2 linked regions of the Arabidopsis thaliana genome follow. The protein of the gene in region 1 interacts with the protein of each later gene in a pairwise test. Each region holds a gene or a part of one and is shown on either strand. Other genes may lie near its edges.

What was found. Proteins that work in one complex are often made in the same cells at the same time.
Region 2: the proteins of PIFI (region 1) and AT1G60080 interact in a two-hybrid assay, tested with the Arabidopsis thaliana proteins (one large-scale study listed by BioGRID).

The regions. Positions count from the first base shown.
Region 1 is NC_003074.8:5,355,148-5,360,169, forward strand, and holds PIFI (post-illumination chlorophyll fluorescence increase), read right to left. Parts: upstream 3,450-5,022; 5' UTR 3,272-3,449; coding exon 3,199-3,271; intron 3,122-3,198; exon of another isoform or gene 3,119-3,121; coding exon of another isoform or gene 3,106-3,118; coding exon 2,997-3,105; exon of another isoform or gene 2,924-2,996; coding exon of another isoform or gene 2,904-2,923; coding exon 2,819-2,903; intron 2,743-2,818; coding exon 2,664-2,742; intron 2,361-2,663; coding exon 2,247-2,360; intron 2,147-2,246; coding exon 2,034-2,146; intron 1,941-2,033; coding exon 1,830-1,940; coding exon of another isoform or gene 1,826-1,829; intron 1,758-1,825; coding exon 1,635-1,757; 3' UTR 1,440-1,634; downstream 1-1,439. Other genes in the region: AT3G15830 (phosphatidic acid phosphatase-related / PAP2-like protein), read left to right, coding at 1-252, 388-525, 854-1,180; FAD5 (fatty acid desaturase 5), read left to right, coding at 3,940-4,464, 4,555-4,695, 4,783-4,923.
Region 2 is NC_003070.9:22,151,381-22,156,969, forward strand, and holds AT1G60080 (3'-5'-exoribonuclease family protein), read right to left. Parts: upstream 3,264-5,589; 5' UTR 3,066-3,263; intron 2,973-3,065; 5' UTR 2,960-2,972; coding exon 2,800-2,959; intron 2,716-2,799; coding exon 2,666-2,715; intron 2,586-2,665; coding exon 2,516-2,585; intron 2,437-2,515; coding exon 2,331-2,436; intron 2,236-2,330; coding exon 2,169-2,235; intron 2,030-2,168; coding exon 1,954-2,029; intron 1,687-1,953; coding exon 1,379-1,686; intron 1,297-1,378; coding exon 1,225-1,296; 3' UTR 850-1,224; downstream 1-849. Other genes in the region: BGLU4 (beta glucosidase 4), read left to right, coding at 4,202-4,330, 4,406-4,469, 4,554-4,603, 4,684-4,759, 4,837-4,908, 4,993-5,080, 5,160-5,412, 5,482-5,589.

The DNA of each region.
Region 1 (5,022 bases):
GGAGGAGAATGGACAAGCAAAGCGTCGTTTATGACGTGGACGATGCATGACATAATTTACGTGGCGAGACACCATTGGATACCGTGTTTATTCGCGGCCGGAGTTATGTTTTTTACGGTTGTGGAGTACACGTTCCAGATGACTCCTGCGAGTTCTCAGCCGTTTGATCTAGGATTTGTGGCCACACGTTATCTGCATAGCATCTTGGCATCTTCACCCAATCTTAACACCGTTTTAGCCGCTTTAAACACGGTAAACACATCTTTTATGACACTATCCTCAAATTCCTCGCATTATGATATTCACATGCAACAAAGAGAGACTAGTTAAATTCGACTTAATTTTGCATTTTTTTTAATCAATTGTTTTGGTTGGGGGTGTGGACAGATTTTGGTAGGGATGCAAACAACGTATATTGGATGTACATGGGCAGTGGAAGGACGACCACGGGCAACCATCGCGGCTTTATTCATGTTCACTTGTCGTGGCATTCTCGGCTACTCTACTCAGCTCCCTCGCCCTCAGGTTCAATTCCACATCTAAATCTTTCTCTCTGTTTTCTTATTGATCGATACCTTGTCGTGGACATGTGATTCCCTTGGTAACTACCGTATAAAAAAGCAGTTTATATTAGTGTCTCCAAATAATTTGACAATATGGACTCTTTCTTATATGCAAAAAGAATGTTCTCAAAGGGCTGCTAATTTGTACTCCCTTGATTTTAGCATAAATCTTGTTTCATTTACTTTTACTTTTGTGTTGTAACATGGGTTTATGTTCGTCTTGTCTATATTAATATGTTCAATATTTTTTTAAAAGAACGATTAAGGTACTTATTTAACCCTTTTTACAGGAATTTTTAGGATCAGGAGTAGATTATCCGGTCGGAAACGTGTCGTTCTTCCTCTTCTACTCAGGTCACGTCGCCGGATCGATGATCGCATCGTTGGACATGAAGAGAATGCAGAGGTTTAGGCTGGCGATGGTTTTTGACATTCTCAATGTATTGCAATCCATCAGGCTGCTTGGTACGAGAGGACACTACACGATTGATATTGCGGTTGGAGTTGGCGCTGGGATTCTCTTTGACTCATTGGCCGGGAAGTACGAAGAGATGAGCAAGAGACATTTACGGAATACTCGTTGTAGTTTGATTTCAAAAGACTCTCTAGTCACTTAAATCTATTTTTTTTTTCCGGCAAAATAATTGTATATTACACTAAATCTATTTCTTCTTAAAACGTTTAGAAACACATTTAGTTGAAGTTTAATGATTTTAATTTAGTTTCTATTAAATGGTTCTAATTGAATACCATTCGTTGAACCTAATTACTAAATGTGTACGTGATTGTGAAGCTGCCTCATTGAGTTTTTTAAATGGTATATGTGTATATTAGGTCTTCGTATAACTAATTTATGCAAAGTTCTTGGTTGAAAAGTTCTCCAATATAGTAGTCTTTATATTAATTTGTTAGTTCAACTAATAAATAGATCAACAAGTGAACATTTATAATATTGGGTGGCTAAAAACCCCCAGATAATTTAATTGTGAAGCTCTTATCTAACACATTTATTGTATTCAAATACTGATATTAACATATGTGTATATATATTTACATAAATAAAAATTAGTTCTATTCATCAGAATCGGATAACTCGAGGGGACAAGAGCCATCATCAACATTAGCATATGGGTTGAAATGTTCTGAATTTGTATCCATGCATCCAGGAACTAGATCCAAGTTGCATCTATCTCCCTGAAATTTGTTCATACATTTTAAAATTTAGTGTATTCAAATTTTATAGGACATAGTTTGGCGAGAACTTACTCCTTCGACCGTCAAGTTGGCGATCATCGTGCAACGAGTTGGAACAACGTTCGAGTCAGGAAATATTGCTCTTTCGCAGGCTCCATCTTGGCTCAACTCGTTCGCTAGACCCTTTTTGCACCAATTGATAAATGATAAGTTTTGCATATTGCATATATAGATGATAAGTAGTTGTGAAAATTTGAAAAGAAATTCATTACATACCTCATTGAAGAACTCAATAGGTTTGTTTTGCCATCGCTTGGGGACTTGAAACTGAAGTCTGTATGGACCGTCCCAATCGACACCATTAGTGAATGAGAATATCAAATTCACAGCTGATAATGATTCATAGGAAAGATAAAAGTGTCAAATTAATACAAATAACTATTTGGTCACAAACCATGATTTGATTTTTGATTATAAAAGAAAACGAACCATGCTTAGGAATGCAAATCTGCATAGTGTATATCGGAGAATCGGCTTTGCCTCGATCTTTCTTAAGCATTGCTCTTGGCTCCCCACCACACATGATTGGTTGGTTAAATCCTCCTGCACCATTTAGTAACCAATTGAATATTTTCATTTTTTTTGTTGTTATAAGTACTCCATAAGACTGGTCTATGTAGCTTTCTACTAATTTAATTTGGAAATGAAAATATATCACTTGCAAGCCACACTTAGAAATAATTACTTGACTAAACCCCACGATTAGACTGCTAACTATAAGTACTTGTACGAAAACAATTATACAGTATGTGGTAGCCCCATTAAACAGCCGCCCTAACCGCGCCAACTCGTTGGGACAACTCGGAATACAAGTTAATTTAATTAGATGTTTTATGAGAAACTCACCGTTGAAAGCAACCCCATAGTCTTCGTTAAGAGTGAGTTTGCTTGCAGCTGGATTATAGAAAAGTTTCAACTTTTCACCCTAATCCAAAAAAGTTTTGTAAGAAGTTAATTGAGTTAAAGAGCCTCAACACTTGAAAATAGCTAGAGAAACTTACTGAGGTTGGTGGAAGACCATTCATGGTTTTCCAGTACACAGGAGCAGTACCCATCTCGAACATGGCCCATGAAGGAAGCTTGTATCTATCAAAATAATCAATCATGAACTATGTTTATTATTATATTCATATAGTTATATCGACCAAAGCAACACGATGAACTAAAATAAAGACAGACTCTTTGATCTCTTCGAGAGGTGCAAGAGTCGTGGCAACAGCTTTAACTTGGAGATCAAGTTTCTTCCTCGGAAATCTCCTTAGTATTGGACCAATCCTTGAACTGTACACTGTATCATTCATTAGCTTTAGTTTTAACTCGTTATATAGCTAGTATTATAGATTGACATAAATGAATCAAGAATTTGAGTGAAAATACTTACAAAAACTACGTTTCGAGGATAAAGGCTGCGACGGAGAGGCGAAAACGGCGGAGGTATTAGCGGCAGCAGCCATCGATACCGATCTAATGAGAAACCTTTTTTGGGGATGAAAGAAGGAGAAAAATATGTAAGTAATTGATATATGGCTTCAAGATAAGGATTTTTCACACCACAAATACAAATATCTACTATAGAATTTTTTTCTTACACATACAAACAAAGACTTAAGTATCATAGAGACAAATATCAAATTTGAAATGTAAGGTCTATGGAACATGTCCCTTTCACTCTTGGGATTTTTCCTTTAATGAATAAGAAAGAATGGGCTCAAAACCAAAATAAGCCCATTCAAGAGATCAATGAGCCCAATTGTTTGAAAGCAAATATTGGGGTGATTTGTTAACTTTCCAAGAAAAACACGGGCTTTTCAGCAAAACAACTCGAAAAATTGAAGAGAAGATCCGGGTTTTAGATAACTGCCCCAAATTGGCAATCCAAATCCCTAAAACCATCTTATCCTCTCTTTCCAAATCTAGCCGCAATGTAGTCCCGTGAACCACAAAAAAGATGAGATCTTGCACGTCTCTGTCATCACAACTAGTACTACTAATTGTGAAGCATACAAAAAAGACCGACCCTTATTTATACACGCACACATATTAACATATTTATACTACTAGTATATAAGTTAAGGGTTTAAGCCTCTTCTCTTCCTTCTTTCTCTTAGCCATCACATCGATAATGGCTTCTCTTCTAACAAAACCCAAACCCGTTTTCCTCTGTTCACCATCGTTATCTCCAAGAACTTTGAACACAGCAACACCGTCATTGAATTTCACCAGAATTTCATTCACCCATCACCAAAAGCTTGCTCCTTTCAAGCCTCCTAGTCTCGTTGTTGCATTCTCTGAAAAGGGTTTGAAGAGAGATGTCACCACAGCTGCTGCAGCGACGGAGGGAGATTACAGAAGGATAATGTTATCTGATGTGTTGGTGAAGAAGAAGGAAAAAGTAGTTTGGTGGGAGAGAGAATGGAAAGCTATGGACTTTGGAGCTGTTGCTGTCGTTTTGTCTATGCATTTGCTTAGTCTTTTGGCTCCGTTTCAATTCAATTGGAGAGCTGTTTCGGTTGCTTTTGGGCTTTATATCGTTACAGGTCTTCTGGGGATTACTCTGTCTTTCCATAGGAATCTTTCTCATAAAGCCTTCAAGCTACCTAAATGGCTTGAGTACTTGTTTGCTTATTGTGGAGCTCAAGCTCTTCAGGTGATTTGATTTGATGATAATGTAGTTTTTGTTGAATGTGTAATTTTGTCACAAATTGTGTGATTGATGTTTGTGTGTTGTTTTCTTCAGGGAAACCCAATTGATTGGGTGAGTACACATAGGTACCATCATCAGTTTTGTGATTCAGACAGAGACCCTCATAGCCCACTTGATGGGTTTTGGTTCAGTCACATGAATTGGATGTTTGATACCAATACAATCACCCAAAGGGTAACGATTTGCTTCTTCTCTTTTTTCATATTAATATTTTTCTGAAAACTGTATTCTAAAACTCTGTTTTGTATATGATGTTTAAAGTGTGGAGAGCCTAATAATGTTGGGGACTTGGAGAAGCAGCCATTCTATCGATTCCTTCGAACCACCTACATTTTGCATCCGCTGGCTCTAGCGGTTGCTTTATACGCAATGGGTGGCTTTCCATTCATCGTTTGGGGAATGGTATGTTCTGTGGCTAGTCTTGCATTTTGAATCTATTCACTGTTAATTTTTCATAACTAGCTGATAGGATTATGATGTGTTTTAGCTCGGCCAAAACAA
Region 2 (5,589 bases), on another chromosome or scaffold:
AAGTCGCATTTGAATGTAGCTCTTTAGGATATGATCCGGTCGAGGGTAAGTATAAAGTCTTGTGCATCTCATGCTCTAGATACCAAGATCCTCTTGTTTTTACTTTGGGACCTCAAGAATCATGGAGAGTGACACAAAATACCCCTAAACATGTCCCTCTATCCGCCGAGGGACTAATACAAAGTATATGTATCAACGGGGAAGTGTATTATGAAGCGAGTATACCTTTTGGAGTCGATGATAGTTCTGAAGTTGAGAAAGTCCTTATGAGCTTCGATGTGAGGTACGAAAAGTTCAACACAATAAGAAAATCAGCGGCTGATAATTTACTTTGCAAATTTTTCCTCAACTACGAAGGAAAATTTGCATGGGTTTGCTCTGACGACGTCTCTGGTAAATGATTTTGGGTTTTGGAGGATGAAGAGAAACAAGAACGGTCACTTAGAAAATTTCCTCAACGTGACCCGATCTGGAAAGTTTCTTGGGGGCTGAGAGGTATTACTCATGATCCACTGGTGAGTTTATTTATACAGCTGCAACAACATCTGAAGCAATTTATGTCTTATATTATGATCCAAAAAGAACCCTAGTAAGGAGGGTCAAATATGATTATATGAAGGAATTGGTGACGAAGAATTCTGGAAGCTTAATCATAAAAATGTAAGAGAGGTCCGCTATTATCATAATCACACTGAGAGTCTCATGTCTTTGGAGGAAGTTCCTCGCTTAGCATATGATTCTTCCACAGATTCAGAATGATTTTATGTTATTTAGTATTTAATTAGTCTCTCGAGGACTTTCCTCGTCTAGTATGGAATATTTCTTTCACAGATTCAGAATGGTTCTTGTTACAATGCCTCTTTTAAATGGAATAATATTTTAACATACCCTTACATTATAACATAAAAAAATTCAGAAAAGCCTAATCAAAAACAAACTTGCGATGGTGGTCAACAAACAAACTTGTTAATTGCTTTTGATTTGAACATTTGTAAAATTAATCAGCTTACGCACATTTCGGTTCGTTTGAAATGGAGATAATATAATCTCACACTTACACTAGCACTAAATTAAAGTCGTTATATGACAAACAAAACCGTAACACAATCGAACAAAAATGGTGAAGAGCTTCTTCCTTTGCCTCTAAATGGGTAACTTGGTGATCTGATTAAAATATGTAACACAAAATTTCAACAATGTTATGGAATCGTTCCATCTGATAAATTAGTCGATATCCATCTCTCCCAATATCTGCTTAAGCTCCTTTGCTCTCTTCCTTGCTAACTCGACACAGCTCTGCGCATAGCAACTTTATAAGAAACAAAAAACGGTGTAAATCAAGTGGTGGATTAACCTAAGAGAAAGCTAAAACTCTCACCTTGATGGCTGATGAATAGGCGAGAGCAGCTCCTCCTGATTTGTAGAAAGAAACCATTTGATCCGAGGAATCCAAAACAACAGTCACAAGAGTGTCCATGATCGATTCTTCTTCGGTTGTTGGATCTGCTAAGATGTAGTTCTTGTGAAGTATGCAAGTTAAAGAGAAAGGAATGTTCTTAAGCGTAAGTTTTCTCTTCTCCTTGTTCACTGCTTCTTTCTCGGTGATCAAAGCATTGTCTTGATCTTTTTCTCCAGTGACGGCAACTATTCTTCCATTGTCATTCAGAGCAACAATTGGAATTTGCACTGCAATATAAAAGATATTTTATGCATCAGAGGAAAAATTCTTCTGTCTCGGAACACCAATCACACAACTTCTGAACAAACCGCTATTGTGCAGGGAAGAATATTACTCAGGTATGACTCACTCAGCAAGATTTAAGTGTTCTCTAAGGCTTGCTCTTTTTACTCATATTCGAAATGGATTTGATAAACTTGAGAATCAGCTTTATTCAAAGGTTCTCTAAAGGAGCTGTGAAACCAACTAAAGGATGAGAACAGAGAAGAACTTACGATTGGAGAAGGCTGCGACAGCAGCAAGCAGAGCAGCATCAAAGAGAGCACCATCAGCATCCAGGCAATATATGTCCTATGAGAAATTTCAGAGAGCAACAATGTTCATATATATGCTAGAGAACTCAGTTAAATATCAAAGAGAAAGATCCCTAGAAGAATAGATGTGAATCAACTGACGGACAAGCACCGATATAAGACCAACGAGTACTCACCAGATAACCCATCCAAGCAGCTTTTCCACTAACTAGACACAGTTCTTTAAGATCAATCATACCAGAACTAGAACAAAAAAGAAACACTTTTAGAAGGAACATTGTATTTGATGCTCAATGAGACAGAGAAAATATAAAGAGAAAGATCAAACCAAAACACACCTTAAAATAGTATCAGACAAACGCTTTGAAATAACGGGAGCAGCTTCGGCTGGTCTTCCAGGACGAACAGTCGGAGAACAAATTGGAGGCATATGGAACTCAATAGCTACCAAAAAGGAATCACAAAATGAATCACCAAAGAAGAACAACAAACCACATAGAGAACAAGACAACGAGATAACAACCTATGCATCCTTCGTCTGGAGAGTCCGTAGAAGGAGTCATAACTTCCATTCTAATAGCAGCAAGCATAGTCTATAAACACGAAACAACTATGTAAGCAAAACATTGCTGATCATGTGAATACTATCGAAACGACTAAGGCGGGTTCTTACAGTGGAACCAATCTTAGCAAGAGCAGACCCATCAGCAGTTGAAACAAGTCCTACAACAAACACAAGAAACCACTATAAAGTTGACATTTTTAATTTGATAAAAACTAAAAAGAATCAATCTTCATTGTTTATACCAAGATTAACAATGGTGTCTCTAGCTTTTCCAAGTTGTCTTCCATCAGGACGAAGAGATTCAGAGAGATGACGCTCAAAGAAACGAAGAGGGAAGATTCTTCTAAAAGCATCAACTTCCATCTCTGTCGACAAGTCTTGAGCTGCATCTGGTATTCCCATGTTTTCTTTAGCTCTGCTTCATGTCACAAAGATAAAGAGAATCATAAACCAAAAGTCTCTGAGTCTGTGCTTCATCAACACAGTCTCAAGGAATCACAAAGCTTACCTTGGGACAAAAGAAAGAACTGCCTTTGGTACACGAAACTGTTGTAGTGAAGAGGAAACACAAGCAATAGAGTGTAAGAAGAAGATTGAGAGCTCGCGGTGTCGTAAGTAATGGGGATTTCGACGGAGACGGTGACGGTGACGACGGCTAGGTTTATCTGAGTTTTTAACTAAAGTACTTCTTCATTCTAAATGGGCCCCAAACAAAGCCCAATAATGTTGCGAAGCCCAAAGAAATGCGAAATAAGAGATTTGTTTGCTTCACAAGACATGAGTATATTGAAATTTGGGTTTTCAATTAGATGAATTTGGCGAAAATATGAGGCGCACTTGATTATGAGCTGAATTTGGGAAAATGTTTAGTGTAAATTGTAAAATATGAAGAAGAAGAAATGGCGTCAAAATGAACATTATACATTCTTGTTTTATATCCAATTTTGTTAATCCTCCATACATTACTTAATGGTGTTTAATTATAAGTTAAGAAATTTCTCTTTTACTATATATATCGTTATAAGTATTCGTAGAAAATTTCAATTCAAAACATCGTTATAAGTATTCGTATATTGAAATTTGCAACAATCAACAGAAAAACTTATCGTTATTCCGTTTTTTTCACATCTATTTTAAAATTTTAAGATAATGTATGTTTAATATTTTATGCTTTGTAATAATTATTAAGTTTTATGAAATAAAATATTTTTTTCTTTATAAGAGGACCAAATATTTTTACTTTAATACCTCAAAAGTTATTATATCATAGTCCATACTATTAACAAAAATTTAGGAATACCCAAAAAAAATTGAAATGTAACAAAAAGTCCAAAAATATTTTTTTGGCCCAAAAGCCCTCATATATGTGGGGCTGGGGCTGCATAGCCGCATGGTTTTCCGGTCCCCTAGTTTCTTTCGTTATTTGGGTTGGTCAGACCTGGGCTCCGATCCAGCGTAATCTGTTTCTTATCATAGTAAATAAAGACCATAATTCATTTCAACACACTTCCCAATATGTTTCTTATCTAAATTGCATCATCATTAATGTCTACGTCACAACTATATCTAGCGGGTACGCAAATGGCTACTGGACTTACTTATTCTAACATGGAACGAAGAAAAGAGTGTGTGTGTGTGTGAGAAATGGAACAGATTTTGGCTCTGTTTGCCATTTTTCTTGCTTTTGCTTTCTCCGGGAAATGCAGCGACGTTTTCAGCAGATCTGACTACCCTGAGGGATTCGTCTTTGGAGCCGGCACTTCTGCTTATCAGGTTTGGAACCAATTTATGAGCTTCTTTTTTCTTAACTTTTGAACAAAACTGAACCAAATGTTTGGTCTCTACTAGTGGGAAGGAGCTGCTGCAGAAGACGGAAGGAAACCTAGCCTGTGGGACACTCTTTGTCACTCTCGTAAGCTTTTCATTTTAACACAAACTATTATTAGTATTAGAGTTTGTCACTCTTGTGCTTTGATTCTTGTTTCTAACATTGCAGGTGACCAAGGTAACGGAGATATAGCATGTGATGGGTATCACAAGTACAAGGTTCTTTAGCTTCTCTGTTTCTCTGACTACATCATGAGGTTTTATTCATCAAGCCTGAGTTTCATTATGAATTTATACAGGATGATGTGAAGTTGATGGTGGACACTAACTTAGATGCTTTCAGATTCTCCATCTCTTGGTCTAGGCTAATACCTAGTAAGTTTTCTTAAACATGTTATAGCTCAGTGAAGGGATCAAATTTATGATCAGTTCGTAATTTATTATCTGATTAGATGGAAGAGGGCCTGTTAACCAAAAGGGTCTACAGTTCTACAAGAACCTCATCCAAGAGTTAGTAAGCCACGGTAAGACCTATCTTCATATCCACGGTAGGACTCAAGAGTTAGGTTTAGTTCGTATTAACTAGAGTTTAAGTAGACTTACTACAGGAATTGAACCACATGTTACACTCTACCACTATGATCATCCTCAGTCTCTGGAGGATGAATATGGAGGATGGCTCAACCACAGAATGATGTAGGCGTTACTTATTTTCTCTTACAGATTTTGTAGTTTAAGATAAAATAACAAAAGTTGATGTTATTTGCCATTGCAGCAAAGACTTTACTACTTATGCAGATGTTTGCTTCAGAGAGTTTGGGAACCATGTCAAACTATGGACCACGATCAACGAGGCTAATATATTCTCTATAGGAGGTTACAACGATGGGGATACACCGCCTGGTCGTTGTTCCAAACCGAGCAAAAACTGTTCTTCAGGGAACTCTTCCATTGAACCATATATTGTAGGCCATAATTTGTTGCTTGCGCACGCCTCTGTTTCAAGACGATACAAACAAAAATACAAGGTATATATTACATAACCCTCTCTTGAATGTGTGAGAAGAAACACACTATAAAGTATATATAATATGCAGGATAAGCAGGGAGGTTCCATAGGATTTAGCTTATTCATATTAGGGCTTATTCCTACTACAAGCTCCAAGGATGATGCCACTGCAACCCAAAGAGCCCAAGATTTCTAC